Linked DNA regions of Neodiprion lecontei. The protein of the gene in region 2 purifies or fractionates together with the protein of the main gene of each other region. This does not show direct contact. Links are inferred from orthologs where the notes say so. Each region holds a gene or a part of one and is shown on either strand. Other genes may lie near its edges.

Region 1 (10,780 bases), on a different chromosome or scaffold from region 2:
TTTCGAAATAAACGCGCAGATGTAGAAGAAGATGTAGCTACACTAATGAGCAAAAAAAAAACAGAAGGATGGATTTTTTTAAGTTTCTAGATTTAACATCTTAGAGTTTTGACGATTCTGCCGCAATGCAATTAAAGGTTGAATTTTTTTTTTTTTTTTTTGAAAAACAAATTGCTCATCGTTTGATTGCCGCTATTTTTCGAATTATGTGAAATGAATAGATTTGAATGACAGCTGACCGTAGCCTATGAATTCAATGTTTTTTTTTCGGTTACTTGTTGCAGTTATCAAAGTTTTGTAAGTTTAGTTCAAAATTTACGAATTGAAAATCGATCGATAAAAAAATCCAACACAAAAACTACAGCCATTCTATACTGATGAAAATTACTCTTAAAGACTCGCGTTTTTGTGATGTGAAAAAAAAAAAAAAAATAAAGAATATCAACAAACAATAAGACCTTTTCAGGAATAACAATTGTCTCTCATTCTCTCGTTCATAGAAAGATTCTAATTATTGAAATGTATGCCTACTGCATGAGCATAATAATAATTAAACCAGCGATCTGCGCCTTTCAATTAGTCTGGCACTCGACTCCGCCTTGCTTTAAAAGACAATCGTCTTCATTGTTAGGACATAACTTGATTTTTCCAGTTGGCTCATTAAATCCGGTTCTCATCCGATGCTTACTGGTTATTTTAGAGAAATATTACGCAATCGCAGCAGAGCAACGGGTAACTAAAACGCTTGATGTCAATCGCGATCGCGCTTTTGCCAGAAATGCAAATCCACGCTGCGTGGCACTTGTACTTAGTTTATTCATCCGTTGTTACATCTGCAAGATAGAAATCATCGAGTATTTTTTATCGGTGAAAGTCGTGCGGTAAAGCGGAAAACATGACAGCTGATAAACTCGATGGCTGGAGGAATACTGAAATTTGGCGACGGAGAATCGGACACTTTGCGCCTCAGGTAGGCAATCAGGTTTACATTTGTGCATTCTTAGTTGCGTAATGAAGATATTACAGGCGAAGAGGGAACAATTTTCGTCTATTCGATCGAAGAACAGCTTTTTGTTGCTCGTGCACACAGTTTTTCAAAAATAGAAGCGCCACCAATTACAATTTTGATGATCTTAAAACTTTCAATCAATAAAATAATGCACACCAAAATTTTATGTTGAACTCATAAATATAGTATAAAACGCAATCATAATTTATTTTTTAGAATATATACATATTTTAATATCATGAATTCGACATTTTTCGGATTTTGTATTAAAATTATCGAGTTTGCGTACTTGCGTGGGATTTACGCAGCAGTTTTTTGTTCTTCAAAAATGTAAAGAAAATCTCTATCAATATTTCAATTATTCCATTCAAATATTCGATTCTTCAATTACCATTTCTGACAACACTGAATTAAAGTAACAGAAATTTGTCCTTTAAATCGAATTACTTGAATTTTCCGCTGGTGTTTAGACAAAGAAATTTTTTACCAATTTATAATATACAATATAACGTTATCACTTTGTTCAAAATTTGACAAATTTGCGTGTCAGTAATTGCCGTGCGAAATAATTGTACAAATCGGTTTTTGAGTATAACAGTTGCAGTTTTCTTCCCTTTCTCTTAATCCCCCTTGCATTTTTTCCTCACTCCTCGCACTTACAATTTTCCCTTTCTGGTTCCACATTTTTTGGCCTCGATTTCCGTCCCTCAACGCGGGTTCTTACCCCTGAAGAGTTACACTATATTTCTGTTGGTAAGTAAATGCGTGGTAAGAAGTTCTAGGTAGGAAGGCACGTCTGTAAGCCGGGTATTAACGTCACTCGCCTAGCTAGACTTTGCTGGATGCAGTTCTTCTGTTCTTCAGCAGATGTACGACCATTTGCCGTGGCAGCTGCGCAACTCTCACTCTCTCTTCCTCTCGCTCTTTCTCTCTCCCCATCATTAAACGGAGGCAGGCTCACCTCGTCCTTTACCGACGGTGAAACCTTCACTAGGAGTCTCTGCAAAAACCCCCGATTCACGTTCTCTGTATAAGGAAAGATGGGAAAAAAAAGGAAAAAACAAAAAATTTTAAATGGACAAAACGAAAAGACAAGAGAAGAAAAAAAAATAATGAACAAATATGAAACAACGAAGAGGATTCTTTTGTACTTGTTTACTGTTTTTTTCTTCCTTTCTGCTTCTTGATCTTTGAATGTTTGTTAAGGTCAAAGCAGAACCGAAAAATTAATTACCATATTGGGATAATATGTTTGGTAGAACCTCTCCGACATATTCGAAGACCTTTGCTGTACTGAAAGAATTTAGTAAGTTTTGGAAGGTGATTGCGAATGAGAGTTTCCTTAAACTTCACAGAATCGTAACCAGAAAAATGTTTAAAAACTGGAGAAATTTCTGAATATACGCACCGAAAGTCTGAGTGTGTCAGAAGCTTTTTCTGCCCACATCGATATTTTTCGAAATGATAATTTTGACGAATATTCACACATTTCTTGTTCATTGTTGTTATTATTATTATTGTTGTTGTTGTTGTTGTTGTTGTTGTTGTAGTTGTTGTTGTTACTATTATTATTATTATTTTATGAAACACTGATTGAGAATTTTATTAATTTTTTTCACTGTTTCGTCTTTGAAATCTGCGGTAACACTTCAATTTATATGGTAAATGTACTATGAAATTTGAAGTTTTTCGAAATAATGTTTCAAAGTTTTTCTTGTTCTCAGGAATGTTAGCAAAATTCTGGCCGCATAATATTGTTATTTTATGAAATACTACAGTTATAAATTTCACATGAAATAAAACGAAAACTATGTATTTAAACTGCATGTAAAGTTTATTGAATTTTTATTTACGTACAAAATTTTACCGAGAAATTAAAATTTTTTCAATATACCTGAAGATAGATTTATTTTTCACCGTTCATAAGATACTTATTGACAATCGTTAAGAATACTCGTAATCTTCTAATTTATTATTGTTCTTGTAAATACCACCTGAGATTGAAAAAAATAATTCACTTCAAAACATTTCCAATTCATTTTCGAAACCCGTTAAATTATATTTCGTCCAAGGTGTGTGCCTGAAATAAAAAGTTTCCTCAGCGCGTATCTTTTTCCGCCAGAGAAATTGTTGTTGATTATTGTTATCATCTATAAAATACTCGTTTACAATATTAGAAAAAAATTGATACTCCAGACAAAAACGAACTTCGAAAACCGATGTATCTTACAATCTATAAAAGACATTGTCGAAATTTGTCGGTTGCTGAAAAAATTTTCATATCTATACTTTCACTTTCTGCGTTTCATTCCGTAAGTCTTCTTCGTTACCTTACCGTAAGATGGGTATAATATTTACCGATAGGTATAAGGTACACGATGCGTGCCGAGAGAATGTAACTATACCTATACATATATATTATATATGTATGCAACTGTAACTGAAATGCGAGTTATACGATATTATAAATAGCCCTGTGTGGAGGGAACAAGAGAGGCTATGGGATCAGACCTCTCGTTCCAAGCCGATCCCCCCCCCCCCCCCCCCCTCCTGGTGGTCCCACTCCTCGCCGGCATTTCGCCCCACTACCGAGAGTTCTTACAACGAGAACCGGGCAGCAGGCAGAAAGAACGCCTCGTGGAGTACAAGTTTGAATCGAGTCGAACGAGCCGCGTAGTATTCTGGGTACGCGTACCGCATTCGGTTTGGGGGGAAAAACGCAGCGGCGGCCGCTGTGGTTCAGCCGTTAATCGTCATCGAAAACGGCCTCAACGGTTCGATATCGTCCAATTTCCATGGTGTCGTGTTTTGTGTGATATTCGTGTAGAAAAGTGTCGTTCTTGTCGTGTTCGAATCCGAAATTTGGAATTCACCGAGACGTGAAAGCGGTAATCGTTCATAGATTGACCGTCGATATTCGTTGTTCGATCAAGTGAATTTCTCATACTCCGAGTCTGATATATTGCTATTTTTCCTACTACATTGTAAAGAAACGATGTAAAAGAAAAACAACAAGAGACTATGAAGCGGAAAACAAACGACGCTCCCGGATGCGGTTGGAATATAAACGTCAAGTGTAGTTAATGAAATTGTGAATTTCAATGTTTACAGTTGTCGGTTTCGTTCGCAATAATTCTCGATTTAAACGAAAGCAATAAAAGGTTGATTACCAAGTTTGTAAGTCAGGAGGAGAATATCTCTGCAGATGTGAAAGGAGGATTCTTTACCATTTGGGAATATTGATACCAATTGTTCGATTTGCGTTCGATTGTTTGAATAATTAGTCCAGCGAGAGATCATACGAAGTTCCGAGTTCCGGTGGGGTCGCCGGAAGTGTATTATAAACTGAGCGGAACGTTGCGCCAACGGAAAAACGTGGGAACACTTTCAGAGCAGAGGTTTCGTGACAGCTGTTGCACGATTAATAAACTCGTTACAGGTGCTTACCGAAAGAGGTTCGGTCTTCAAAATGGCGAGTGAAACTCGCGCAAACCGAATATAAGAACGGCCACTCGAATCTGAATGTCGATCACCTGAATTTCACATTCAAAATTGATCGTTAAAAATCGTTTCTTTACCACAGACGAATATTTGAACTGTCTCGATGACAACGGAACGTCGCTTCGGGCGTTCGAATAAAACCGTTACGTGGTAGCGAGCCGAGTTATCAAATTTCGAAGGGCGGGAGCAAGCAAGGTTTTCAAATTTCGAACGTCGGTATTATCTCAAGGTGTGACATCTCGTACGGCAGAGTTGAGTCAAGTTTTCAATTGACCTAGATTTCGAACAGCGGGAGCAAGTCCAGTTTCAAAATTTCGAACGTCGGGCGCGATTCGGTTTTGAAATTTCGAACGGCGGGTGGTATTCGAATTCGAAATTTCGAACGACGGAATCGCGTCGTAAGCGAGAAGAAGCCGGCGGTGTAGCAGAGACTCTTGAGTGACGTCATCGTAAGAAAGGCAGGTTGGGTGAGCCAAGTTTGACCGTTTCCCGTTTGTCAGTACGGATAGAAGAAGCCCAGGCGGTGGGCGGCAGCCGGGAATGGCTTCGAAGCTGTGACGTTTTTCGTGAAGTTTAAAAAGAAAGAGGCCGGAAAAGGTCGACGAGGTCAAGTATCGAGGGACGGTGATCGAGAGTGAGTTTCGAATCCCCGAGGCTTGTGTTGTCGGTGAAACGGGAATCGGAGTGACAAAATTGGCTATCGGGCACTCCGATGATGAAGGCGTGAAACGGCGGTTGCAGTTTTCGCGAATTGACAACTGAGCGCGGTTGGCGTTCGATTAACGCAACCGGCCGCACCTGTGCAGCTTCGCGTCCCTGAGAAGGCTGGAAAATATATATATTCCAACACGGATCGACACGAACGTAAACGCGACTGACCGACTACCTGTTCTCGGATATTTCCCCCGACTTACTACCTGAACCAAAGGCATCGATACCATGGGGAACCATCCGTCCGCCCACCATCCGCTCGAAAGAGCCACAACCCACGCTGGAAACACTCTCCGAATATCGGTATGTAGCCGTCCAGCAACTCGAGACGAAAAACTAAGAGCTGGATTGAGCGGTGACGAATCATTCGGAAAATATTTATTCACCCCCTATGAGATAAACGCGATTACGGTATTGTACGATCCTCGGTCAACCGACATCGTTGAGCTCTTAGACAACTCCAAGTTCTTCCGATCGATCGGAGGAAACGAATTCGATGTTAGGTTTTAAAACTGGTCCTGGCTTAATTCTCTGAGAGACGGTAGAAAGCGACCCGAGGAGCCGTTTATTTGTGTACATATATGGGGAGTTCCAGGCCATTTCGACCCCGCTCATGATCCTCACTGTTTTCAATTCTGTTCTCCTATTCGACGATGCGGATAAAGAGGGTTTGCAAAATTGGTCATTTTTAGAGAAATCGATTTTCTTGCGATTGATCGATTCGCGAAATCAATTGACAACGTGGTTAATTTTAATCAATGAAATTTATGTCAGTGAGTTTTTGCGAAAAAACGAAACTTTTCAGTCTAACACTAAAGCGAAAATTAGTGGATATCTGGTTTGATAAATTTAACCAAATGAATTGTTATTGAAACATCTCCAGCGTGAGGATTTTACGGTTCGTGATCAAATCCCCTATTTTTATATCAGATTGCTCGTTTCTTTCAAATTAAATCCACACCAATTTTCATTCCGGAGTGAAAGTTTTTACCTTTCGGCAAAGAATTCGTTATATTAATTTCATTGAAATCAATTATGCGGTTAACTGTTGAATTTCGAGGACCGTGCGGTTGTTGATGGAAAGCCCATTTTCTAAATAAACTGAAACTGTGGAAATTGCATTTTTGCGATTCGCCAAGCAACGTACACTGGAGAATGAAATTGAAGATGGTGTGGATCGCGAGCAAGTCGAAATGTTTTGGAATGTTCCATATGTACACGTGTGAACGTTATAGAAAAAAAAAAAAAAAAAAAACTGAGCAGATGGGTTCTTCCATCTTCTCCACAGAACGTAAGCTTGGAAAGTTTCTCCTAACTCGCAGTTAGCGAAAACGTTATTCACGCAAATTTCTTCGTCAGGGCATCGTTGCGGTTAGGTTTCAATGACTGCGTTGCAAAACGGTACCAAAAGTGTCTGAACGTAACTGATTTTAAACCGTTTATTATTCGACCCAAGATGCGCCAGCTGTGCACGTTTCTGGAACGGAGAAATCTGCCCATGGGGTTCTTCCTATGGGATCAGCCAGGATCCGCAGCTGCGGTTAAAAATGGCTTCGTGTATACATTGAAGTTCTAAAAAAAAAACGTGAAGCTGGATGGATTCGAGATATGGAAACAAGGCTGAAGTTAGTAACTTTGACGCAACGAAAAATTACTATATTTCAAGTTTACAGTGAGTTTGAAGTAGTCAAGTTCTTGTCTTGTTACGACTCACTGAATTTTAAACATTATTGCAACTGGGACATAACGGTTTTTTCGAAACGTTAATCGTCGCAACAACGTTACTAACTTCACCCTCATATATGGAAGAGAAATTGTTGCAATGTTGACACAACGAAATATTGGTGAAAAACACTCTCCTGCAAGCTTGGAATAACTTTGAAGAATTAACGAATTTACAAAACAGTACGAATTCCAGATTAGGGTGCGAATTAATCGCGAATCTGTATCCTTCCGTGAATTATTAAATCATCTGCATTAATTACGCACTCATCATGGCTCGAGAGTTGCTGGAACCGCGTATAATTATCTAGTTTCAGTAACTTTTTTTATTTTATTTACTTTGGGCTTGGCCTCGATCGCCGCACTGACCACATATTTTGTAAACCGTGATTCACGTCCTGCACTGAACTCACAATCGATGTATAAGGAGGGGGAAGAACTTTAACTCTGTTTGTATGTTGTCATAGCTGTTATATGTGAATCGTGTCCCCACGGGAATAAGGCGGAACTAATAAACACAACGCGATCCATTTTCAAATCGAACAACCGACTCGGCCAGTCGCACACGAGTGCAGTTCAAGTTGTGTGTCTCAAATTTCTATCGGTCAAGCTTGATTAAGAACCTTTGAGATTTCACCTATTCTCACTTGTTCGAGTAACAAACGAACATACCGCAATAAAATATTCAATCTAAGTTAAAGTTAAAGCTAAGAAATCATCAGATGGAATCAAGCATCTAAAATTTCGTTCTATCAATCAGCATCGGCCGAATATTTAACCAGCTTAAATTAACCGTTCGCAGTGATTTTTTTATAGTTGACCAAGTTTTAAATTACCTTCTAGGCCAGTGTACGAAAGCTTCGATGTTATTTGCCCAATTACGAAGGATCGTATTATTTTTCTGCGCCGAAAAGGTTATTTAAAATATGTCTCTGTTTGTCGGTAATGTTCGAATTGGGAAATGACATTTGGTGAACTGATTCGTTTACTTAAATAAGAACCTAAATGAGATATTTCCTCATCTTTTGGAATTTGGTGGCTTTTCGATTCTGCTGATCCTAACTTTTCTTCACAAATAATTGCTTTCAATCCAAATCCATTGCCTGATGATTTTTTGGAATATTTTGAATCATTACAATCGCTTTTCGAAAAATTTTATCACTCAAAAATATATTTACTTTGCAAACGGAGCTTTTCGATATCAGTTCTTTGGCAAGATTGTGCGTCAAGGAATACATTTCCGACAGTGAAATTTGGCACACGTGAAAATGTACTTTTTAACTTGAATATATTGAAGTATGAATTTTTTCTAGCTTGATTGATTTCGTGGCCGACGAGGTGACCGAGCTACCTCAATAAAAAAAAAAAAACGAATTTTTCAGACGAGCATTAGTAACAATTTCCTTTGCCGACGCGACGAAAAATAATTCCAAAGTTGCGAAATAGTGACGTTTCTAAAAATGTTTCCTTACCTTAATATTATTAACTCGAACCTCATCCAAAAGACCCGAACTCAAATATTTTTTTTCGCAGTAAAATTTATGTAATACTTTCAAATTTTTTACACACAAAAGGAAGTTACAAAGTAATACGGAAAGTTTTTTTTTTTTTTTTTTTATTCACTTTTGATGGCAAATCTCGCCGGTACGTCTATTTAAATCTGACCCCCGTAATATTGCCTCTGGAGTGGAAAAAATAACGTAATTACACGTTTCCGGACAAGTATAAACACGTAACGAATTGCTCTGTCAAGCTTCCGAAAAGCTCCAATTTCGGTTCAATCATTATTCCGCGGTTCGTGTCTCAGGCATATTTCGCGTTTAATTGGCACATTGAACAATGCACGGTGAACGTGTGACGTAATCACGATGATGGAGAGTATAACGAGACGACGTGCTCTCTGCTTTGAATTTGACGCTCTCTGAGAGCAATTAGAGTTTCGATGATGAAGCCTCAGCAGAGAAGGACGAATGATCGGCGCTAATTACACAGGAGATTTGACGCAGCAGAGAAGCTAGAAAGTAAACGATAAATTCAGAAAAAAAATTCGAGTTGTAACGACCAAAATAATACATCCGACTAAACATTATTTTTACTTGACCAAAATGATTAGTCAATTTTACAGCGAGCCGAAAACATAATGTTTGGCACCACAATCCCATATCACTGAGAGAAATTTTTTAACTATTTTCATTTTTTACCATAATCGAAAAATATAGTTCTAGGTACAAAATGAAAATTAGTTTTCCAGCTGTTACCAAAAAGTCTGGTATCCGTTACTATTCTTTCTCATCACGATCACTGTTACTATATTTTCTAGCAACTGTTGCGAAAATTTAATGCTTGTGCAATAATAAATTGACGCTGAAGCCTTATTTATCTAAAACAGTAGAGTAAACCTCAGAAACTGATTTAGCGTTGCAATTACCATAAAAAGGATCGACAATAGCGAAAAATGGTTACGTTTACCTCGATTTTCGTAATTCCAACAACATTCAAACAGTTTTTATAACGATACCTGTTTTACTGAATTTTTCTAGCTGCTGTAGAAAATGAAATTTTTCTCAGCGTAGATTCTGTTCCAGTTAAGAAATCAGATCTACACAGCGAAATGTTTTTTTCAAGATTGAAAAATGACTGTTTAACGTTGTAACCGAAAAAAAATTGTCGGTCGATTTTGACTTGTGCTACGAGAATCAAGTACCGCATCAAACAACACCAAAAAAATATGCCGTTGCGAATTGATTGGCCTATTCAATGATATTAGATCACGAATAATTATTCAGTTCCGCTGATTATATACTACACAGATGCCTGGAGCCCATCCTAACAACTACTCATCTCATTTCTCTTGCGAGAAAGGATTTTTAAAGCGCCATAGAATGTATTTTGTCACTTCGACAAAATTTTTTTGTACATTTACGACACAACATATTATTTGATAGCGGTAATCAGTCAGTAGCTCTCATGATTTCGTAAATTTTACTAATCTTTATCCACCGAATAGATTTAGTGAACGAATTTATCAGAGGGTATTCAATATTTTCATAATACCATGAAAAAAGTGCTACTTCGTTAAATCGACTGAATCAAAATCGAGATTTCGTATTTAAAACTATATTTTATTCAGTTAAACTTTTTGCGATTTCGAAACATTTGTTTCGTTCATTTTGACGTTTGAAACAAAATATTGGGTTCCTGCGAGAAAATTTTCCACACAAAGCTTCGACAAATAGATTTTTTTTTTTTTTTTTTTCTTTTTCATTTTAAGCTACAATTTTTCTCCGAGTCTAAACCGAAGCTCCGATAATCAAAACATGCCTGAATATGAATTTGCGCGGTATGACTGCACTGTAATACAAAATTTCTCGATTGTTTTAAACGCAAAATGAGTCCCAAGACGATCGAATCGGTTCAGAAAACCACATTTCAAGTATTTCGAACGTTCTGATCCCAGTCTAAAGCTTTTCCTCAAATTGTCGGTAACTTAGCTTGTGGCATTCGAATCGGCTCGCATTCATTTCTGTCACATATCTCAGCGATCCGTTTCGTTTTTGGTCATCACTGTAGGTCCAACTAACATGTTGCTGTTTTTAGACTCTCCTTATTTTCTTAACTTCGGATTCACTTGGTCCAAGAACGACTAAACAACGACCTTAGTTAAAATTCACCCTCGATCGCCTCTCAGCCGTGCTTCTTAATCCCGTAGAAAACGGCCGCTTGCGTATTATTCACCCCATGGAAATAAGCTTTATTCGATTATTCCGAAACTGCACGGCTGAAAAGACGACAATTTGCATGGTGGAAGCCGGCAGCGAGTGGTTACTCACGATAATT
Region 2 (11,148 bases):
TTCAGTGAAAACAGGTGATGCGGTAGACCATGAAAGGCAGGGAACCAGAGGAATTGGCTTTGGCCAATTTGTTGCTGCTAGAGAGGCCATCTATACATTTTTCCATCATCTGTTAGAAATAAATACTAGCCACCCAATGCTTTCATGTTTTAAGCATTGGCTGGGATACGGTAAAGATGTTATTTCAAAAAAGTTTCATCATAATCTATCAACCATCTCGATGGAAACTTTATTTTGCCGTGGTACATCCTGAGTGAGTACAATATTTTTGTTTCTGATTGCTTCGCCGTCTTTTATACGTTTTACTATGCACTGAAAAGGTTGATAAACAATGTTTGATAGTAATAGCAAGCGTGATACTGAGGTGATAAAAATTAATAAAATCTCTCAAAAAGCATTGAAAAATTTTATAAATACATGTAAACTACTAACGTGACCACCCATTGATAGTCCGGTAAGCCCTAATGGTCCAAAGCCTTGCTGTTCGCACCAGTTTAACAGAACTATAGATTCCATTATTAAACAACCACCCATTACAAAAATGTCTGAGACATTATGCAAGCTCGAACGTCTATCAACAGATAACGTATTTATAAATAAAAGTTATGTGTACAAATTTCACAGGAGGTTCTTACATCTGATCCTTGGGCTTTCTGAGACCGTAGAATGGATTTTCAAGTAGAATAGCCCCGATCCCAGCTTCCTTGAGCAGAGGGCGAGCAATCAGATTTCGACGGCGCCAATAGAACTTGAAAGTCAAATTTAAAAGTTACTAAAGAGTTCTCGCAACTGCTGTCACGCTGTTCAGTTAAACTTACGTGATCCCCTGTTCCGGCCAAATGCAAGCAAATGGGTTTGACTCGCTGGGATTCCCACTTGCGTGGCAAAACAACCTGGAAGTAAGCAGTTCGCGTCTCTTCCGGCATGAGGCCTGGCAGATTTTGGTCAAAAGGCGACTGAAAGGAGCCCTCCAAAATGTGACAGTCTGACCATTCTTCATCCTGATTATTTAAGGTTATATTTTAAAGGTTAACATTGGTGAATGCAAAATTCGTTTCATCTCTTGTTCCATTTTGAAGTCGATGAAAGTTTTTTCCAATGAGAACATTCAATACTTATAAAAGCGGTTTTCGGTAAAGTATGAGATAAAAAATTGTAAACATAGTAACACGTCACCTTCGTTATCGTTACGGGATAATTGGTGGGTATAAGATTGTAGCAAGCTTCTCGATTTGCAACAATTTTACGGAACTCAAATATCCTGTGAGTAAAAACGAAAGAGATTATAAAGAGAACATAATAGAAAGTAGGTTGAGTAGATTTCAGGTAGTTTTAATATATTTACCTCCTCAAATTTTCCGGTTTTCCCCAGCCCTTGGTGAAAAATTTTGTGAGCAAAAGACTCCTGTACACCGCATCCAAACGACTTGCGGGCATTATAGAACCGATTGTAACGTGTAAATTTATACCTATCCGGAGAATTATAATTCTCGTAAACTGAAAAACTAGATAAATTTCACCGGACCCAAAGCGTTCAACATCTTTTAAAGTATACGTCAAAATTCATACGGGTCAAACGGGTCAAACTGCACTTTGGGCTGCATGTGTTTCCTCGTCTATGTATAGGGTGTTATAACTCCACTTCGCAGACGAAATCTGCCTGAATCGCTGATCTACTAACTTTGGCACGTTTAACACCTAGGCTACAGCATATAGAATGACAGAAATCTACGCCAATCACCGCGCAAAGATGGAATGGAGCCACATCTCGATGCTCATGACGAACGATTAGTCGTGATTAGATTATTCATTGCTTGTTATTCGTTCTGGTCGAGATAGATATCGTCGAAATGATTCTGTTTATCTACAAATTATGAAAAGCATGCATCCTAAATTGTAGATATTTTCACGACCCCGTATTTTGACGTTCTGAATACGAAACCGGAAATCGCGTAAACGTTCACTACGCTATGTAGTTTACTACTCCTACGGCTATAAAAACACGTGTTTACCAACGTCGGACGTGCCGCACGGCACAACGGCGAATATACATTCCGAGAGTTTTTAAACGAGTACCTAATCGCTGTTGCTCGCGACTCAATGTCTTGTTTGTTTTGTAACGCTATGGCCTCTTAGGTATTAGCAACGCTTAATTTTGGCAGTTTATCTCAAGCTAAATTTAAATCTGGCACGTTAATTAAAATTAGTCGCCGACTATATTATTCGCATATGCATATCATATTGTAACTATCATACAATATTTATTCGTGTAAGATAAATCGACCTGAAGAATAAAATGGATACACGTAATTTATTCGTATTGTCCGGAGAATTAAAATTCGTTAAAAATATACTCAACATTCAATTGTTCCTGAATAATTTTATATTTTCTGATGTTTATATGTAAGGTGCAGCTGCACATGAAACATCGCGCTTTTTGTTTGGATCAATGTAACAGTCAAATACCAAATACACACACATATTTGTTGTATGAGTACTTATACTTCATCCATCGCACAACGTAATTCGTTCAAGATCTATCTTATCTTGTTTTACTTTCTGAGAACTCACCGCGCCCCGTAAATTATTATCGCTGAATCGAAGGTTAACACAACAAATTGTCGCCTGCAAGATGACAAGTAAATCTGCATGACCGTAATGATGTATATTTACATCCCGGTATTTTGAGGGTACTTCAACCACATTTCAACTCTGTTCGATTTCGTGAATCCCGATAGTGCTGCACTCTATGTTTAACTTTTAAGCAGAATCCTCGTGTACGCATTTCACATGTCACTCGTTTCACGTCTAGTGGTTTTCTAACCTATTAGAATTGATTGTTGTTGTCAACCGTCGGTGATCGATTAATTGTGAATAATGCAGAACAACAGGAAAGATTTGGGTAGAAATGAAGCATTGAAAACTAAGAAGGGCGATAATAACGAGCAAACTAAGAAACCGTTCGACAAAAAAACCTACAGGTTGAAAAAGTATAGCAACAAGTACAAAGGTGACTTGAAACAATATCTCTGATAGCGACATACCTATATGCCTGGGCTAAATATTTAATGATATTTCAGTTGACCAATGGGAGGATCGCAGAAAGAAGGCTGTTCTCAGACAGTACTACAAAGATCTGCAAAAAGGTCAAAAAAATGCAGCACATTTAAAGACAGAGTCAAAAGATAACGACACAGAGACTAGGTATAGTTTTTACATAACTTGTTTCAATTCTCTTTCATATTGAAAGCTTGATATTCACACAACGTGCACTGTTCCGTCTTATTTCAGCAATCCGCAACCCAAAGGAAATGCCTTCCATGCGGCTAAGATTGAATATTTGAAGAAAAAGGATGAAAAAAAGAACAGAAGGGAAGAAGCTCAACGTAAAAAAGAAGAAAAGATCGAAGCCCTGAGAAAATATAGGGAAGAAAAGGCATTAAAGTACAAAAAGTTGTCGAAGAAAACAAAAAAAGGTCAACCCGTTATGAAAGATAGGCTTGAGATGTTACTGGAAAAGATTCAACAAACTAGTTGAATGAATCACGACGTTGATCGTCCTAAATCTACAAAACTCATTCATACTGTAAATATCCGCCCATTGTTGTGTAATTAATAATTTTTTGTGTAACAATAAAATAATGGGATAAAAAATAAAAATCTCTGAACGACATGTGAATAATTTGAATCGACGAGGAATTAATCAAAAGAAAGTTTGAGTGTTTTGTCGAAAACGCCGAAACGGATCTCTCAGAATTCAGTCCCACGTATTGCGAGAACTCCCAGACTGTGGCTTGAATAATTAGGGAGCTAATAAAACGGAATCTTGTAATATTATTTGAAATTTGCCGGTCCACGGGATGGCGCTGGTTACGATAAAATGGCGCACGAGCCGCGCAGCGAAATACGAGGGCCGAGCAGCAAGCGTAGAATATAGAGCCGTCAGCTTAGCGGTTGCAAATGGCGACAGCCACGAAATCCCTGTCACAGATTCGCGTATAATTCTCGTCGTAAATATATCTGTGACTCCGCCACCCGCACGGTTATCCCTCGGTTATATTGGTGAGTAGAACCATAGCAATCAATTTATATAACCGTAAGTGATCCGGTTAATTTAATAATGTTATTAGCGATTAGCGAAGGGAGGTGGGCCTGCCTATCGGGCCGAAGTTTCTTCGAAATATTTTACTATTTATTCGTCAAAACTACGCCCCCTCCCGCGGAAGAAATTATCCGGTCAATATTATCGCACCGCATCGCCTTCTTGTCTAACTTATCACTTATACCGTAATAAGGCTCTTCCAAGAATTGTTTAGTTACCAGATAAGTCCGATCTTTGATTTCCAGGGGTGTGCAAAATGGGGGCTAATCAGTCCGCTGTCAAAATCCTCGCTTGTTATCACAATTAGAGTAAATCACCGCATACGAACAACAAATGGAATATTTTGGCCCATTAGTTTTCGTTGTGCAACCATCTGGTACGCTATTTATGTCGTTGGCACCATTGCCAATTGTTATTACAACTTTGAGTAGCCGTTGACAGATTTTTGCGCAAGGTGGTTTTTAAATTCAGCCCTAACACTGTTCTTAATTTTTTTTTTTTTTTCTCCTTTCGTCAGCTGATAACAATGCATAAATATTTTCATTGCCATTGACTCAACGTGCCTGCATGCGTGTCTGAAACACTTCTTGCGTTACATGTAAGAATCGTATATGTATTAGTAATCTAGCTCCGCCAGAAGCAGCTCAGTATATCTGAGTATAGATTAATTGCAAATCAATTTATGCGTTGAAAGATTGATTGAGTTTGCATTAACTAATCCAAGTGGTTTCTTATTTTTCTTAGACCTACATTTGTCAGGCAAGATTAATTTGTCGGTTTTCTTTTGCGAATAAATAAAAATTGTTACGTATCAAAAATTTTTGTCACACAGCATTCTAGGCAGCAAATTATCGATTATGAACTACAAATCAACCTCAAGTTCGAATAATGCAACACTTTTATCAGTGCTATATCAGATATCAGCCTTTTCTTTCCAGTCTACTTGCCCAATCTACTTAATAATGACTAGTTTACCTTTATCCTAGGTCGTCTGAGCAATAGGAGGCAAAGATGCCAGCCGTGCGAGGAGATGGCATGCGTGGTCTCGCCGTGTTCATTTCAGACATCAGAAATTGTGAGTTTCATTGTTATTTAAACTCATTCACTAAATCTTTGAAGCCTCAGGTTCACAAGAAATTTAATCACTAATATGGGCATGCATCAAATCTCTCTATATCATTGCTCCGGCATTTTTTTTTTGAAATTCGCAACGACCAGACTGCATTCGCAGACCGGAATACACGCTTATCGCAATTGCTATTACGTTTCTTCTGTCGATGAAATGATAATGTGCCATTGAGACTGAAGGAGATACATGATAGTCTTTTGTGGAATGGGGGAATGGGGGCGGTTCTGTGATACTGCCCCATATGTGATAGTCCGGTAGCTTCATGCCACAAACATGTAACACCTACTGTGATATGTATTTTGTGATATACATTCAACATCTCTGCCGAGAATAATCATGTTATTAATGGCATTGAGCTATCTGAGAAAAAGTAATAATTTTTAACAAAAGTATATTTATATTTACTCCATAAATTTATAACGCCGGTTTGCGTATTCTGGCATATTTATCTTTCGATGTACACCTAATGTTTTTTTACTATATTTTAATTAAGTTTTATTGCTTTCCTTACCTTGGTAAAATTCGTACGAAAATTCTTATATAACCAGTACGAAAAATTATGGCCTCTTGGTTCTGTAAGAATTGGATTTTAGGATCTTTTCCGGTTTGAATCGTTCGTTAGTGCTGCTTTTTACATATACAGCAGTTTTCCCTGCTACAAATAAAGTGAATTCCTCGAGGAACTTGCTTTGATGGAAAATGAATCAATATTTGTAATCTACTATGCCAAATGGCCAAGAGCCATCTAGATGTGTCATTGACCATACTAGAGATTTTCAAATAGGTATATAACCGGACATTAGAATAATGTACTCTTGAGATTTAACGTGACAATTTCGTAATCCATTTTTTGCATAAAATATATCCCAATATCATGTAACAACAACAAAAAACTGTTATTATTCCTGCACGTGAGATTTATCAGAAATCTATTCAATTATATATCTCACATATGAAGCTGAAGGAAGTAGCCATAATTATAGCTGTCTTGTACGAATTAGAAAAAGAAAAAAAATGTCTGAGAGTAAATTAACGTTATATCGTTCCATTCATAGCTGGTCTATAATTAAGCTTTGAATACTTTTTGATAAAGTATGTTTGCACCTAAAAAGGGATATTTACTTACTTCAGGAATAAGGATGGTAATTTTTAGTTCAGTTCTAAGAAAATTTACAGCAATTGATGCTGAAAATTAGTATCAAAATCTGTTCTGTGGTCATACCTGTTTCTTTTTTCTCTTACATCACACATCAACGTATCTCTTGTTCACAGGATAAGTGCCTGCTTAGGTATATTTCAATTTGAATCAATTCAGCTTTGAATACTTTATTAACATCTAATTGACAGGCAAGAGCAAGGAGGCAGAGATCAAGAGAATAAACAAGGAGCTAGCAAACATCCGTAGTAAGTTTAAAGGCGATAAAACGCTGGATGGTTATCAGAAGAAAAAATATGTTTGCAAGTTACTGTTCATATTTCTACTTGGACATGATATTGATTTTGGTCATATGGAAGCTGTAAACCTTCTTTCGTCGAACAAATACTCAGAAAAACAAATTGTAAGTCATTATTTTCTACTCTAGTTTTATGTTGAACTGTAAAAATTTATTTCATTTGCTTCTGCAAAGAAGTATTTATTGAAATTTCTCATTTCAGGGATATCTATTCATATCTGTACTAGTAAATACAAACAGCGATCTTATTAAATTAATTATTCAAAGTATCAAGAATGATCTTGCATCAAGAAATCCAATTCACGTAAATCTTGCTCTACAATGTATCGCCAACATTGGCAGCAAGGAAATGGCAGAAGCGTTTGGCAACGAAATTCCAAAACTGCTTGTGTCAGGGTAAGTTGTCGAGATGCAGCACAATTCACCATTCTCTACACTATTCTCACGGTTTTACATAATCCCTAAATTGCTCAATGGATCTAGGCGACTGGATATTAGGTGATGTAAAATTCTTGTTACAGTCTTGGAATTCGCTTCTGCCATAATTGACATACTCGTTTCCAATTCTAATGTCGGTCAATGAATTTTTTGCTGCTACATTAGTCGATTAGTGGTAAATCGCTAATTCTGGCTCAGGGATTTATTTCGGTAGATAAATTTACTGCCTATCATTGTTACACCAGCAGTCGCAATTCCAATGTAGATGTCAAATCAAGATATTTTTTTAAGTTGTTGCGCACATGCTTTGATAAAGTGTACCCTAGAACAAATATACTTTTTAATTTTGTATATCAAAGCATTGATCTTACAAATTTCCTGTTTATTTACGGTTGTATTAATTGAACTCCGCTATCCAAATCCCACCAACACAGTGAAGATGATTTTGTAACTTTATTATGACAAAAGTAATTTTAGTAAATTGTACTGCAATTTTTGAGGGAAAATCGTAAATCCACAGAGACACTATGGACGTTGTGAAACAGAGCGCAGCCCTTTGCCTCTTGAGATTATTGAGGACAGCACCAGAGGTGGTTCCAGGTGGAGAGTGGACTTCTCGCATAGTTCATCTTCTGAATGACCAACACCTCGGTGTTGTCACAGCAGCTGCATCGCTGATTGATGCGTTAGTTAAACGAAATCCAGACGAATATAAGGGCTGCGTCAGTCTTGCTGTTTCAAGATTGAGCCGGGTAAATTTTCGTGGAAAACCTGTTTTAATGTTGTAATTACTTCGAGTTTTTTCACTAGGCACTCTGTAATTATAAGTGAATGAGGACCACTCTGCTATTATTCTCTAATTACGAGTTTTTCTTGCATAGATTGTAACGGCTAGCTACACAGATTTGCAGGACTATACCTACTACTTTGTACCTGCGCCTTGGCTCTCTGTTAAACTTCTTCGTTTGCTGCAAAATTATACTCCACCTGGTAAGAAACTTTGACAGTTTAAAAAATATAAGTGTATTAATTTAAAACGTTACTCAACCAACGTTTGATATCTATACTTATTTTCTGTAGCCGAGGATCCAGGAGTACGTGGAAGACTGAACGAATGTCTTGAAACCATATTGAACAAAGCTCAGGAGGCACCAAAATCGAAGAAAGTACAGCATTCTAATGCAAAAAATGCAGTTCTTTTTGAGGCGATAAGTTTGATTATTCATAACGATAGTGAGCCAAACTTGTTGGTTCGTGCTTGCAATCAGCTTGGTCAATTTTTATCAAATCGTGAGACTAATCTACGGTATTTAGCACTCGAATCAATGTGTCATCTTGCTACTTCCGAATTTTCTCACGAAGCTGTGAAAAAGCATCAAGAAGTTGTGATACTTTCAATGAAAATGGAAAAAGACGTTTCCGTGAGACAGCAAGCCGTTGATCTACTTTACGCGATGTGCGACAAAAGCAATGCCGAAGAAATTGTCCAAGAAATGCTGAATTACCTAGAAACTGCGGATTATTCGATCCGAGAAGAAATGGTATTAAAAGTAGCTATACTAGCTGAAAAATATGCAACTGATTACACGTGGTATGTCGATGTGATCCTAAATTTAATCAGGATAGCTGGTGATTATGTTTCTGAGGAGGTCTGGTACAGGGTTATTCAAATTGTTATCAATCGAGATGACGTTCAGGGATATGCTGCTAAAACTGTGTTCGAGGTAAGAATTCTATATTGGAAAATTGTCTTCATTATAGTTGGCAAAACACTGCTGTGATTGTACTAATTATCTTCTCTATGTGTAACAGGCTTTACAGGCTCCAGCATGTCATGAAAATATGGTCAAAGTTGGTGGCTACATTTTGGGTGAATTTGGGAATCTTATCGCCGGTGATCAACGTTCGTCTCCTCTAGTACAGTTTCAACTTTTACATTCCAAAGTGAGTGTGATGCCGTATGAATATCCAGATTATTTTTACACTCATTATATTTGTCTCACCTTCTTTGTTACAGTATCACTTGTGCTCCCCGATGACAAGGGCACTGCTGCTTTCGACTTACATCAAATTTGTCAATTTATTCCCTGAAATTCGTGTTCAAATTCAAGAGGTTTTCAAGCAACACAGCAACCTACGCAGTGCTGACGCAGAATTACAGCAACGAGCTTCTGAGTACTTACAGCTGAGCATTATTGCCTCCACTGATGTCCTTGTAAGTGATAACAATACAACGTATACTGGACATTATTAATTATCAAATATTAATATGTGAATTGATCCATCTACGTCAGGCTACCGTTCTAGAAGAAATGCCAGCTTTCCCAGAACGAGAGTCGTCCATTTTGGCTGTGCTGAAAAAAAAGAAACCAGGTCGAGTTCCAGAGAATGAAATTAGGGAAAGCAAAAGTCCAGCACCTAATTCAAATCATCACACTGAAGCCCCTTCGGCAATATCAGCTGCAACTGTCAGCAATAATAATTCGGCAGATTTATTAGGCCTCTCTACTCCCCCATCTTCCCAGCCGACAAGCAACACTGGTGTTCTTTTGGACGTTCTTGGTGATATATATAGTGGAACACCAAACAATGTCGGTGCTACGAATGGTGCACAAAACACTTATAACCCTAAGAAGTAAGTACAGACTTTGAAACTTTGATTATCATTTATCAGTATCGATTTTCGCGTTTTGTTTTTTTTCATAATACGTCTATTTATCTGTATAGATTTGTATGTAAAAACAATGGAGTGCTATTCGAAAATGATCTGATTCAAATCGGAGTTAAGTCTGAGTTCAGACAAAATCTTGGACGCATTGGATTATTTTACGGAAATAAGACGCAATTTGTGTTACACAACTTTCACCCACAATTATCCTGGTCGGAGGAGGACGAGGCTAAACTATCTGTTCAAGTTAAGCCGGTAGATTTGGTCTTAGAAGCAGGAGCGCAAATTCAACAGATGATTAATGCTGAATGCATCGACGATTATAATGGTGATTTAATTGAACCGCTTTTTGCTGAAAACTTGCTAACTCATGGTCAGTTCTAACTTACTTTTCTTTTTCTTTCAATTTTTTCATTTCAGATGCGCCGAGCATGGTAATTTGTTTTTCGTATAACAACGTGCCTCAGAAAATAACAATGAAATTACCACTTACCATTAACAAATTCTTTGAACCTACTGAAATGAACGGGGAGTCGTTCTTTGCGAGGTGGAAGAATCTTGGGGGGTAAGTAGTGTCACAACAACAACGTGGAATGTCTTTAAGCAAATTAAAAATTCGTGTAAGAACTAAATGTGGAATTCTGTCCTTCATACTTCTTCATTTGTAACAACTACGTTGATTTTCAGGGCAAATCAGCAACGTTCGCAGAAAATATTTAAGGCTCAACAGCCAATGGACTTGGCACAGGTCCGCACAAAGTTGCAAGGCTTCGGAATGCAACTGCTTGACGGGATTGATCCGAATCCCGATAACTTTGTGTGTGCGGGAATTGTGCACATGCGGGCACAACAAATTGGGTGTCTTTTGCGTCTTGAACCGAATAAACAAGCTCAGGTAAATTTGCAAATCTTTGACAATATGTAGGAATTCATATGTGAATGATATTATAGGCATTGCCGTGTTTTCAGATGTTCCGATTAACGGTGCGTTCTAGCAAAGAATCAATGTCTATAGAGGTCTGCAACCTGCTGGTGGATCAATTCTAAGTGATCATACGTCAGGCTTGTATATCTTACATATTTACAGAGGCAGAGCAGCAAAAGAAGGCCACTTCGATCTTTACTCATTATTCACTGATGTTTCGTTTGATCTAGAGGTCATTTTCTGTTGTTTGGTCAATATTAATTATTTGTACAAGATTGCATTGTTCTCAGTTTCACACTCGCTAATTTATCACGAGCCTGTCCCACTCGTATTGCCACAGAGTTTTGTGTAAAGAAAGCTAAAAACAATGAAGGAAACTACGTACCGGTTGACTTTTAATTGACAGTATTAACCCCTGACCTTAAGGAAACA
Region 3 (11,242 bases), on a different chromosome or scaffold from region 2:
GGGACTTTACGGAACTAATAACATTTATAGAAGAATGTTTTGAATAATCTATTGATCATTTGATAGTCTCTGCTCTTCTACCGGTCATCTGTAAATTTATGTAATAAAATCAAGATAGCTCATGCCTATACTGCTTTCACGATCAATGCACGCAAGTATTATTGTTCGTCCTTCAAAGAAGTCTAGATAAGCAAAAAGGATAGTCATTTAAAAGTTTCATGCATTACCTCCTGCAACAGCTGCTGCTTTAGCTCCATGCTTATTTTTCTTCCCTGCTGAAATAAATGATGAAGTCAAGGCAACAAATTTAAACATAATAGATACAATCTACAATTTACAATAAATATTATCATCTATCAGAGAGATGTGTAAGTTATGTGCCTACTGGATAGAATAGTGTTAAATTTTATACGTAACAGAAAAAAATACCATTCCATAAGTAAAAATACTGATATCAAGCTAAAACTAACACATTTCCAGAAAAATTTTATTGAAAAACCTTAGCACTATAGTTAGGAAAGTCGATACTCACTGGGTAAGCTAAATGGAGCAGATTCGAAGGGGTCTTCAGGCAACTCTGAATAGGTCATAACTAAGCTTTCACGGCTCTTCACACCACTGATGCTACTATTGCTACCTCTTCTAATTTTATCAAATTCAGCCCCAAAAATATGATCTTCAGTAAGTTGATTGAACGGTTGCGTATCTTCAAAAGGATTCCATGCAGCTACATCAGCACTTAAGGATCTACCATCTGTGCTGGTAGTTGTGCTTGAAAGTTCACCCTGAGAAAAAGAACAACTATCTGAATAAATGTAAGTAAGGCGTGTGCGATTGTATTACAGATGACGAAAAACAATCGCTAGCATCAAATTCTTACTTATTGTACACATATATATACAACAGTAATGTGTGTGCAGTGCAGAAATTGAAAATTAAAGTACTCAACAGTAAGCCGAAATAAATGTTACATGAATTTCACAAGCTCGACTGTTTACAATTAAATACAAATGATCGTAATGTATAAGGTCAAAACACCTATGATTATTTCATAGAAGTGAAGAGAGGTATTTTAGTTTCGAAGGAATTAGTAATAAGTGAACTAAAAAATAAAGGTGTGCAATAGGTACTTACAATACGTACGTGAGAGGCACTAATGCCTATGCCTGGTTTTGTATCCATTGACACATCGGGAGGTGTAGAGCCTCCGGATCGGGGTTTAACAGAGGCTTCGTACGGTGCTAGAAACTGAGAAGTTTCATTTGCAAATACTCTGTAAACATTGAAATAGCCACTGTAATTTAGTTATTTAATTTAACTGAGGCGGTTCGAGAAACAATACCTTCCACATCAATGATAGCAATTTCCACCAGATTGGAATTTCAATCTACAAGTTTTTGTTTTGAAAAAAATATAAAATAAAATTGTGAAACAGACTGCAAATATGCATGTAACTCAGAGTGATGGAATAGCTATATATAAATTATTGATCACGTTTGTATAATGAATATTCATGTGTATTAAAGAAATAGATTGCAAAGAAGAGAGCTTACTTGTTGAACGCGCTAGTATCACTGACATTCCTTCGATGTCTAGATGATGTTAGCGTAGGACTATCTGGTGGGGTTCCAGCTGAGCTGATGCTTTGACTTAGACTCTCCATTTTCGGAACAGGCTTTGGCAAGACTGGCGGTGGGACTGCGGATGGTATCTTAGTAGATGTCGTTGCCGTGAGTAATTTTGATGGCAGCTGTGTCGGTGTTGTTAGTTTTGGTGGGCCAATATTGGTGGGAGTCGTTAATTTTGGAGGTACCAAAGGTGCCCCAATTTTGACTGTACCTGGCTTAGGAGCAACAGGCGGTGGGATTTTTGCAGGTGCCATCATCACACAAGTGTCATCTTTAAACGGATCTGGGTAACCTGAGCCAAATTGTAGTGATGAAACAGGTTATCAGGGCATATAAAATTCGCTGATACAAATATAAGCAACGTAAAAATTTTTAATACAGATTCTTGACATTTTCTGTATATATATAGTGACATTTGACAATAGTAAGGATTGCTAGCGAAATAAAATAATTTGTATCTAAGATATTGATGATTTTATATTATTTGAGAATTAACTCACCAGACGAGGGAAATAAGGCATCCAAATTTTCCTCTTTAACAGCTGAGGCAGTCGTTCTTGAATCGAAATAATACGGGTTCTTTTCCTGAATAGTAACCGGGGATTGATGAGGGAGAGGAGAATGGCTAATCATCGGACTCTGAGATTGGCCAAACGGCGAGGGGGCCTGGGATTGGCCAAAGGGGATGGCTTGGTTCGGGGATGAGATGTGAGGACTGACCTGAACAAAGGATGATTGTGCAGACAGCTGTAAGGGCTGTTGCGGGTTTGTTTGAACGCTTTGTCCAAGATAAGCTTGTGGAGTATTAATGGGCGGGATCTGTTGACTAACAGAAGTATAGGGAATTGAATTCCCAAGTGTAGTTTGGGATTGTAATTGATTGCCCTGCCCCGATATCTGACCTATGATTTGACCACTTAAACTTATGGGACCAGCCGCTGCACTCTGACCTTTCGGCCTTTGTCTCGGTGCGACCGATGTCCCTTCAACCATCGTAACTTGTGTAAGCTTTTGAATTTTTACCGAAGAACGCTTGATAGCTTCAGATTCCAGAAGAGGACAGGGTAGAGACTCTATTACCGGGGTTGGAGCTTTCTGTAAATATACAAAAATACAATTTCCAATAATCTTTTGAATCTGAGTCATTATAATCTGCCAATTGCTAGGACCACTCAATTGAACAGTAAAAAATACTTACGTGAAGGTTTTGTATTGGACAGTCCTTGCCTTGTAACTGGAAAGCAACTACCGAAACTTGGTATATATCTGGTCTCAGATCAGGATCGGGTTCTAACATGTATCGAATTAAGCAATGAAGTGCTTTGCTATATCTGTAAATTGAGAAAAAAGTTAATATAACCAGTCATGCTACTACAATAAAATATTCAAGATAAGCCAAAAGTTTACCTCGAACTTTCTGGTATGGTAAAGTTTCCTGATTGAATAGCAAGCGTACTCTCGCCAAAAGGTAACGAGAAAAAGCATAATTTATATAACAGACATCCTAGAGCCTGTAATAGAATTAAATTCTTTAGAAAAGAGGGAATGACGAACAAAATTTGGATTTCTACAGCTTCTCAACCTGCATTGACATGTAATTCACATGGTAATTCAAAAATATAATCATCAGAAATTACCCAAATATCTGCTTTTGTTGTGATGGTCTTGCCGCAGTACATATCAACCATTTCTGGAGCTCTATAACTAAGAGTTGTATACTTTTTAATTTCTTCTTCTACTATAGAAGCACCTTGAACACTTGGATTCAATACTTTTCCAGTTGCAGATCCAAAATCACATAGTACGTAATGACCAGAATCTGCTAGCAAAATATTTTCTACCTGTGACAGATAAGAACATCACCATTGAAACTAGCAATATCAACACGTAAAAGAAATAAAAATTGGATACAAGTTTTTTTTTCTAAGACTGACCTACCTTAAGGTCTCTGTGTAAAATAGGCGTCTGGCAATGGTGCAAACGCGAGACAGCTTCACACACGTCACAAAATATCTGCAAGACTTCAGTTTCGCTGAATCCAGTTTGTAGCCTGCATGATTTAAAGGATAAACGTTGTTGTTTTTAAATTTGAAACGAACAGAGGTATGTGTGAGATTACTATAGATGGACATTGCTAGTTTGTACAATTGAATATCTAATAAATATCTTTTGTCTGCTCCGAAAATTGAATGTATCAGTAAAAGTAAAACTAAAATGTTAATCACAAACATTATCCACGTATAACTGACCTGTTATTCATCATTTGAAGAACATGAGATTTGCAATATGGCATTAAAAGGAGGAGTTCATGAACCCCACCTCCAGTGTGAGTGATGCTGCTATCCACATATCCTATAATATTTTTATGACCGCTGAGATTGCTCTGAAAATTGAATTGATATGCTATATTGTACAGCAACGATAATGTAATTGTCTTTGGCCGAGCGGCCATGTTCAATATTTTCACTTTACTGTTTGTGTAACTATACAGGCATATGACAAGTTATCACAAGTGTTTACACAACCTGGCAAGGAAGCGAGCCTTTGTAGAACAAGCAATTACTCTTAATTATATTCCCATGTCCTGGGTTTACATATTCGAGAGTATCAAAAGGGCATAATCTCATCGTATAAAATTTTTGCTACAAAATTGGCACTTGTTTGTAGCAAAATTCTGAAACGAGTTTGCGATTTTCAAATACTTACAGCAATTTGTATCTCTCTTTTGCATACGTTGAGATCATGTTCATTATTGACATACATGCGTTTGAGCGCATAACGCCCACCCGATGCTTTGACCAAGAATACCACAGCAAAGCCACCTGGAATTAGGGATGTAATTTAAGTATATCTAATTATTATTTTCAATAGTGAGGTGAAAATTGCTTTTTCCAACACATCTAAAATTTATTATTAGTAAATCGAGTAATTAAGTATCCAGCTTCAAATTTTTCTGATCCCTTCTTTATTGTGTCATATCATGCTCTCTGTCAGTATCATAATAATAAATATGTAAGATTAACACATGTCAACTTGATATGACGATAGAGCTGTATCATGTCTGTAGTCTGAAACTGAGCTGTTTTAATTCAGGAAAGTCTAGATTATATGCCAGTGTCATTTTGATACAGTTCAATAAGTACATCGAATAATTCAGTCTGATTAATGTAAATCACCAATTGTTTTATATTAGCGCTTTGCTCGAGTTAATATTTTTAACCTTGGCAGATGAATGTTTAAATTTTTATTTGCATGTTGCGTATGATGTGAGGGGTTTTTGGTATGTGATTTTTAGCAGCGCTGTAATGTATCATCTGAAAATGATACTGATTCAATGCGATTGAATAAAGAAAGTTTTTTCGCCAGTCATTTTTATTCCCAGTTTAGCAATAAATGAATCATAAGTATTGCGTACCGAGTTGTGGGAGTGGTTTGTTGGATTAGTGAGAAATTTGTAATGAAAGGAAAATAAAGAAACTTGAGAGAAGTGAACGGCTTTTATTCAAATCTGGAAAGATTAGGAGAACATCCCTGCAATCATAAAAGTTTAATAACACTCGGTAATCTATCACGGTAACGGTGCTTGTCTTGCGATAAACTTGTAGTCCCGGTAGATAAGATTGAGACATGAGATTAAAAGGCCATAGCACCAGGTAATGCTGGTTAGAATGGCCAAGAATGATCGTTGCGGCTGACTGAAATGCACGATACAAACAACTACGCACCTTCCTCAGGTTTCTTTCGAGCCTTCTGTTTTTCAAACCAACCCCACGTTGTGTTTGCACAAGTGAATCGACGAGAATAATTCGCGTTGCAAAAACAATAAAACGAATTACGTACGAGGCTGGAAACGGAAACGAATTAGATTCCATTAAGGGAGTTGGATATAAATGGGGAGTACGTACGAATGCTCGGAATCGTTGAAAATATTGAAAATGGTGTTTGTTGCGCGAAGAAATGAAAGGGCCGTGAAATTGTAATAAACATAGCGACATACAGCGATAGTAGAGATTCCAAGACGGGAAACGATCGAGGATGAGGGACGAGATATTACACGTCGCGGGTTACGCACCTTCAGCGAGGACATCTTCGACTGTAACGGTGTGACGGCCGACGACAAATACTTTGCCGACATAGCTGTTTGGCTCCTTGGCTGTGTTGTCAATCTTTGTTTCGATTTTTGAGAAGAGTTTCTTCATTTTGGCACGTCGTTGTCGTCTGCGCTACTTCTTCGGCTATCCACCCAATATTAGACTGGCTTGACATAAGGCCTCCTCACACAGTGTTTTACGATTTATAGACGAGTCTTGGCCGGCGGAGTTACTCCTTATTTTATTCCAACTATATTTGCGTCCTCGACCGGCAATCCGCGTGGAAATTGCGCGTAAACTTAACCAACGAAAATCAATTTTATCATGATAACATTCAACGTATTTCACCCAGCCGACATTTTAAGACAGCGTTAGTTGCGCATGCGCGGCAAAAAGTCACGCTGCAGCAACTGAAGTGAGGCTAATACACCGGAAACATATGTCCCTGAGTTCCGGTCTAACGTCAAGTCTTGAAATACCAAACACCGCAAACATACAAGTCTTTCCCAAACGTAAACTTCTCTTACCGTCGGTTTTAACCTTGCCAACGAATTAGCGTCAAATTACTGATAATATCACAACGCCGCTGATTGGATTCGTCCCTTGTTGTTAACCTACGAACAGGAAAATGAGTGATTTAGAGGACGAGGATGTAATACTCGACGACATAAAAGCTCTCCAAGAAGTTCTTACGAAAAAACAATCGGACGGTTTGAAAAAGGAGTTGGTTTCCGAAGATCCATTTAGAACAGAACACAGTCAATGCGAGCCGTCAACGTCTCAAGCGAACAATCCTCTATCCCCGTCGAGCACGATTCAGGACTGCTGCACTGTCGACCCACTTGTCGATGGCGAAGAAAGTGATAACGAATGGAACGAGAATATCAATAGCAGTTTGGATCTTTCGAGTCCCGAGGCTGCGTTGAATCTAAATAGAAAAATAATAAATCTCTTGGTGAATGCTCAAAGAAAGCTTCGCCTCTTGCTCAAAGAGTGTCAGCGTAAACAAGTGCTAATAGATGAAAAACTTCAAAAGATAAATTCCAACCCATTTTCTAGAACGCTATTAACCATTAGCGGGATCCCATATTTCAAAGACAAGCGTCATTTTCCTGCACCCAAGAACCAGGACGCTAAGTTGAAAGCCAATCGTGGTGAGCTACAGATCATTGAACTTCCGTGCCCTTTGCGATGGACTCTGAAAGATCGGAACACGCTATGGGAGGCTATTTTTTGCGAGGCTAAGATGATTGCCCAACAAGTAGCAAGAAAACAACAACCTAATAACGGGCAACACTTGAGCTATGCAGAGGATCCTCTGAACCTGGAATTCAAGCTGACGGCTAAGAGAATACCGGAGCAGATAGCTCAGACCTTCAAGAACTTGGTTGGTCCGATAGGATCGAGGGAATTTGACTGGTTGAAAATAGCAGTAACCGATTTCAATGAGAGACATTCCGCCAGCGAGTGCAGAGCAATGTGGAACGTTTTCCTACATCCTGACATCAACAAGAGTAAATGGAAGAAGGCTGAGGATATGGATCTAAAAAAGTTGGCTGAGAATTACAACTTTCAAAACTGGGACCTAGTGGCTGAAAAATTGGGCACAAATCGTACAGGATATCAATGTTTTATTAGATTCAATACCAATTTTAGAAACAACATGTTGAACAGGAACAGTTTTTGGTCAAAAGAAGAAGACCAGAAACTTATTGACGCTGTAAATGGATTGAGGACTGGGAATTTTATTCCATGGGGAGAGGTCGCTAAGCTTATGGGACAGAGACGAAAGCAGCAGATATACATGCGCTGGAATTACAGTCTTGCTCCTAATTTGAAAAAGGGTAGATTCACCGAAGAAGAGGACAAGCTCCTACTTGCAGGTGTTAACAAGTTTGGGGCTAATTTTACAAAAATTTCAGTTTCTCTGCTGCCTCACAGAACTACGGCGCAGTTGAACGATCACTATAGAACACTTCTGCATGAGAAAAAAAATGAGTGGACTTTACAAGACGATACCAAACTGGTAGATCTCGTTGAAAAATTTGGCAACAATTGGTCCGCTATTTCCAAAGAATTCTCCAACAAGTCTAGAGTCCAAGTTAGACATCGCCATACGTCGATACTCCGATATCTGAGTCGGGGCTTGTCCCTCAGATCCATACCCAGGTGGGGACAAAAGTCTGAAGAAGTTTGCATCGAAGATTCAACGATGACTGGTGAAGAAAGGCTTCAAGAAATAAGTAGGTGTTTGAGAACTCCGTATGAAAAGGATGGAAACGATGGAAAGAGAAGTAATCTATCTGATATTGATATAGAGCTTCAGGATTACTTCAAAGGAATGTATCGAACCACTTCGAAACCTGGAAGAAACAGCAAATTTTATACTGCCGAGGAGCTCAACTATAAAACTCCGAGGCTTCACGTTATGTTGCAACTGCTGAATGCTGATCTTGATATTCCTGATGATTTCGACCAGGAACCACAGTTGACGGAAAAAGATAAGCAGCTGCTGACTTCCTTAGTAAAGTATTCAAGGGATGAAACCCTGGCGTCTGACATGCAACAAAAATTGGTTGAACATACCAGGCAAAAGATGTTTGGATCATCTATGGTGACAGAGTGTGAAGATCGTTTTATACCACCGTTTCCATTTGATGGTAAGAAAATTATCTCACGAATTAAAAAAGGAACAGTTACCGGAATAAATTACGATCCTACGAACGAGCCAACCACTGTTGAACTAGATAAAAACTTCAAAACACCTGAGCTAGTCATATCGCAAATGGGCGGTTTGCAAAGCGAACTTGCATTTGAGAAGATGGCCAAGAAATTTATCGGCAAAACCGAAAACTTTCCGACAGATACTGTGTTTTCAAAGGAGATACCTGAACGATCCGGTAAACTATTGCCGATAAAATTCATTTCCCTACCAAATAGTGGGAAGTTAAATAGTGCAAGTGAAATTATTGATATGAACGCCCCAAGTACATCAGGTGTCGTTTCCAATCCAGATACAAGTGAAACAGAGCAAAGTATGCCAGGTATAAATGAGTCATCTTCGAAAATTACCAGAAGGAAACTCACCAAGTATTGGCCAGAAATGCTGATACCTCCAAATTACACAACTTTACTAGGGTTTCGTGGAATATTATTATCAAAACACATTCTTGAGGCAGATAATTTGGTGGAAGACGAATATGATGAACTTGAAGATTATAGGATGACAACAGAGGGTCGACAAGCCTTGGAATTATTTGAGGAACGTTTAGCTAAGCTTTTTAAATTTCCTATAGAATTGTCCGAAGTAGCACCACCTGTATTACACGATATGAGAGAAAAAGATTTGGACAGTGTTGGGAACAATTGTCAAAGAAGAAGAAAAGGCAGTAAGGAATGTGGGGGATCGGAAACAAAAAGAAAAGCAAAGTTTGCAAAACTCAATGTTGAAGAAATTTCTGAGACATGAATTTCATAAAAAATCAGCTATCTACATTGTATATGTACAATGTATTCTCCCTTAATGGTTCAGACTTGTTAAATGACACTGCACAACCTTATGTCCTAAAGTTTACTCCAATTGTATTAACCTCTTAACCTACGATTTAAGTTCCGATTGCGTGAGCCTATAATCAACAGCAAGGTCGGTCATATGTGTAAATATCACGGCTCTCACTCGTGATTCTCATGTTTGGCCCGATCGACGTAGCACGTCTCCCATGACATTGTAGGTACAGGGGTTAACATCATTTCTATGTTTATCACGTATCGTATCTGTGATGATATTCATCATATTTATATACTAAAAAACTTCGCAATTTCGATTGCACTTGCAGCTAAAGTATATAGCTAATATGTATATCCATTACGAAAATACCGTTTAATACCTTTTTCTATATTTCTACAATGTAATCATTTTGTCTCATGTTTACTATATTTATGAGAATTACAGTAATTGAACAATCCAAAATTATTTTATAATCTCAAAACCGTCATAATATAATACTAAAAGAAGCTGCAGTGTCTGCTGTTATTTGTGTTTTAAATAAAAATATATTTTCTACAATATGTCGGAAACACTCAAGCTGTATGACGCCCCTATGATGTCCTTGAAAACACAATACAATTTCTTGTCGATATTACTACTCTCAGTACCATAGACGAGTTACATGTGTTCGCGGATAAGCAAGAAAGAATTTTCCTTTCTTGAAGAATTTTATTTGCGTACTACATCATAGTTACATAATATATTTGATGGGTGAAACTTTATAAAATACAACTGTTTATGCTTCGACTTGTTTTAATTCTTCACTGCTTTTCTCTGTACCATAAGCTCCCAATTCCGTCAGGAGATCCCGTTTCTTGTCAAAGTACTCTTTGAACCACATAATGTGGTCTTTTTTCTCTTGAGCAGTCATAAATGCATTTTTAGATAGCCCAACACATACTAATTCCATAAAGTGTCTGATGGGTCCTTTTCTTGGGCACCAGCCTTCTAAATACGGTTCCAGGAAGACGTGATCGGAAAAGTGTTCCTCTTGATCGATGGTTAGATCTAATAAAATAGAAAAATTCAAATTTATGTCAGGTACACGAATTATAATATTATTCTCCAATGGAGAGAAATTAGCTTATTTCAGCAAAATTAAATTTCATTGACCCGTAAGGAAACGAGTGAGAAATGGCAACAGTCGAACATACTAATTATACTATAAAATTTAATCTAATCTAGTTTTGTTCGATAAAAAAAAAAACGTGCGAAATTACGCATAACATGTAAAAATACCTTGTTCATTATCAATAGGGAATCGCCAGAGTTTTCCCTGTTCGGTCCACTGAATCATTTGGTCAATAAAATGAATAGGAGGATGAGTGACTAAGAGCTTTAGATCCCGCTTCTCTAGATGGTCCCAAGTCTGAAGAGTGGGTATGTTAGGATCGACCACAGCTTCAGGATCCATTTCGAAAATACCCAATGGGTTTCCCGAATCAACGGTAACTCTTGCATTACTAAAAATCAGGAAAAGTGTTAGAAATTTCATTCTACACTCTTTGAATTTAATTGCATTGAACAGGTATTTTAGAGTATACAATTGAATTGGACAGACATGTGTATTTTTTTACGACTTTTTCCGCTGAATTTGGGCCTACTCATCTGTTGTTGGATCGGAGCATTTTGTTTAGTTTTTTGTATTATGTCATGAACCTGGTCTGCCCGGCTGTTTGATTGATATTCTTGGGGTTTTCTGCGATCTATGTTCATTCCTTTGACCAGTTTACTGCAGGTAAACAATCATACAGTATTATTTTGTGTATATACACGTTGCATGTATTATCAATATGTTTAGTAAAATTAACTTAAAGGCAAACCTCAAATCCATGGGTTCTTCAGAACTTTTACTTGGAGTCAAGATTTTTTTCAACAACTCTGATTCAGTTTTGCTTGTATCCCCTCCAAAAGTTGCTGCTACATCTTTGGCTGCGCCGGTCAATTTCTTTTCTATGAAGAAATTTTCTATCAGG

Evidence for each region.
Region 1: the proteins of AP-2 complex subunit alpha (region 2) and protein numb purify together in Drosophila melanogaster (affinity purification with western blotting; 5 studies listed by BioGRID). This does not show direct contact. The link is inferred for Neodiprion lecontei from reciprocal best matches to the Drosophila melanogaster genes AP-2alpha and numb.
Region 3: the proteins of AP-2 complex subunit alpha (region 2) and BMP-2-inducible protein kinase purify together in Drosophila melanogaster (affinity purification with western blotting; 3 studies listed by BioGRID, with this or other methods). This does not show direct contact. The link is inferred for Neodiprion lecontei from reciprocal best matches to the Drosophila melanogaster genes AP-2alpha and Nak.

What each region holds. Positions count from the first base shown.
Region 1 is NC_060261.1:16,627,348-16,638,127, reverse strand, and holds the start of protein numb, read left to right. Parts: upstream 1-3,650; 5' UTR 3,651-5,449; coding exon 5,450-5,524; intron 5,525-10,780.
Region 2 is NC_060265.1:7,701,493-7,712,640, forward strand, and holds the start of AP-2 complex subunit alpha, read left to right. Parts: upstream 1-3,945; 5' UTR 3,946-4,062; intron 4,063-4,320; exon of another isoform or gene 4,321-4,394; intron 4,395-5,088; 5' UTR 5,089-5,113; coding exon 5,114-5,177; intron 5,178-6,578; coding exon 6,579-6,790; intron 6,791-6,887; coding exon 6,888-7,081; intron 7,082-7,643; coding exon 7,644-7,875; intron 7,876-8,004; coding exon 8,005-8,113; intron 8,114-8,203; coding exon 8,204-8,847; intron 8,848-8,935; coding exon 8,936-9,067; intron 9,068-9,140; coding exon 9,141-9,338; intron 9,339-9,417; coding exon 9,418-9,758; intron 9,759-9,850; coding exon 9,851-10,119; intron 10,120-10,211; coding exon 10,212-10,356; intron 10,357-10,478; coding exon 10,479-10,686; intron 10,687-10,742; coding exon 10,743-10,838; 3' UTR 10,839-11,148. Other genes in the region: protein ABHD18, read right to left, coding at 1-90, 433-571, 636-748, 819-1,001, 1,177-1,261, 1,346-1,437; rRNA-processing protein FYV7, read left to right, coding at 2,878-3,010, 3,081-3,204, 3,292-3,538. UniProt on the Drosophila melanogaster protein: Adaptins are components of the adapter complexes which link clathrin to receptors in coated vesicles. Clathrin-associated protein complexes are believed to interact with the cytoplasmic tails of membrane proteins, leading to their selection and concentration.
Region 3 is NC_060260.1:5,814,442-5,825,683, reverse strand, and holds the start of BMP-2-inducible protein kinase, read right to left. Parts: upstream 6,085-11,242; 5' UTR 5,828-6,084; coding exon 5,701-5,827; intron 4,451-5,700; coding exon 4,335-4,450; intron 4,012-4,334; coding exon 3,878-4,011; intron 3,679-3,877; coding exon 3,567-3,678; intron 3,470-3,566; coding exon 3,266-3,469; intron 3,140-3,265; coding exon 3,036-3,139; intron 2,960-3,035; coding exon 2,827-2,959; intron 2,724-2,826; coding exon 2,129-2,723; intron 1,921-2,128; coding exon 1,554-1,920; intron 1,274-1,553; coding exon 1,135-1,273; intron 786-1,134; coding exon 533-785; intron 276-532; coding exon 228-275; intron 1-227. Other genes in the region: snRNA-activating protein complex subunit 4, read left to right, coding at 6,348-9,188; 28S ribosomal protein S31, mitochondrial, read right to left, coding at 10,003-10,274, 10,506-10,729, 10,828-10,998, 11,090-11,219.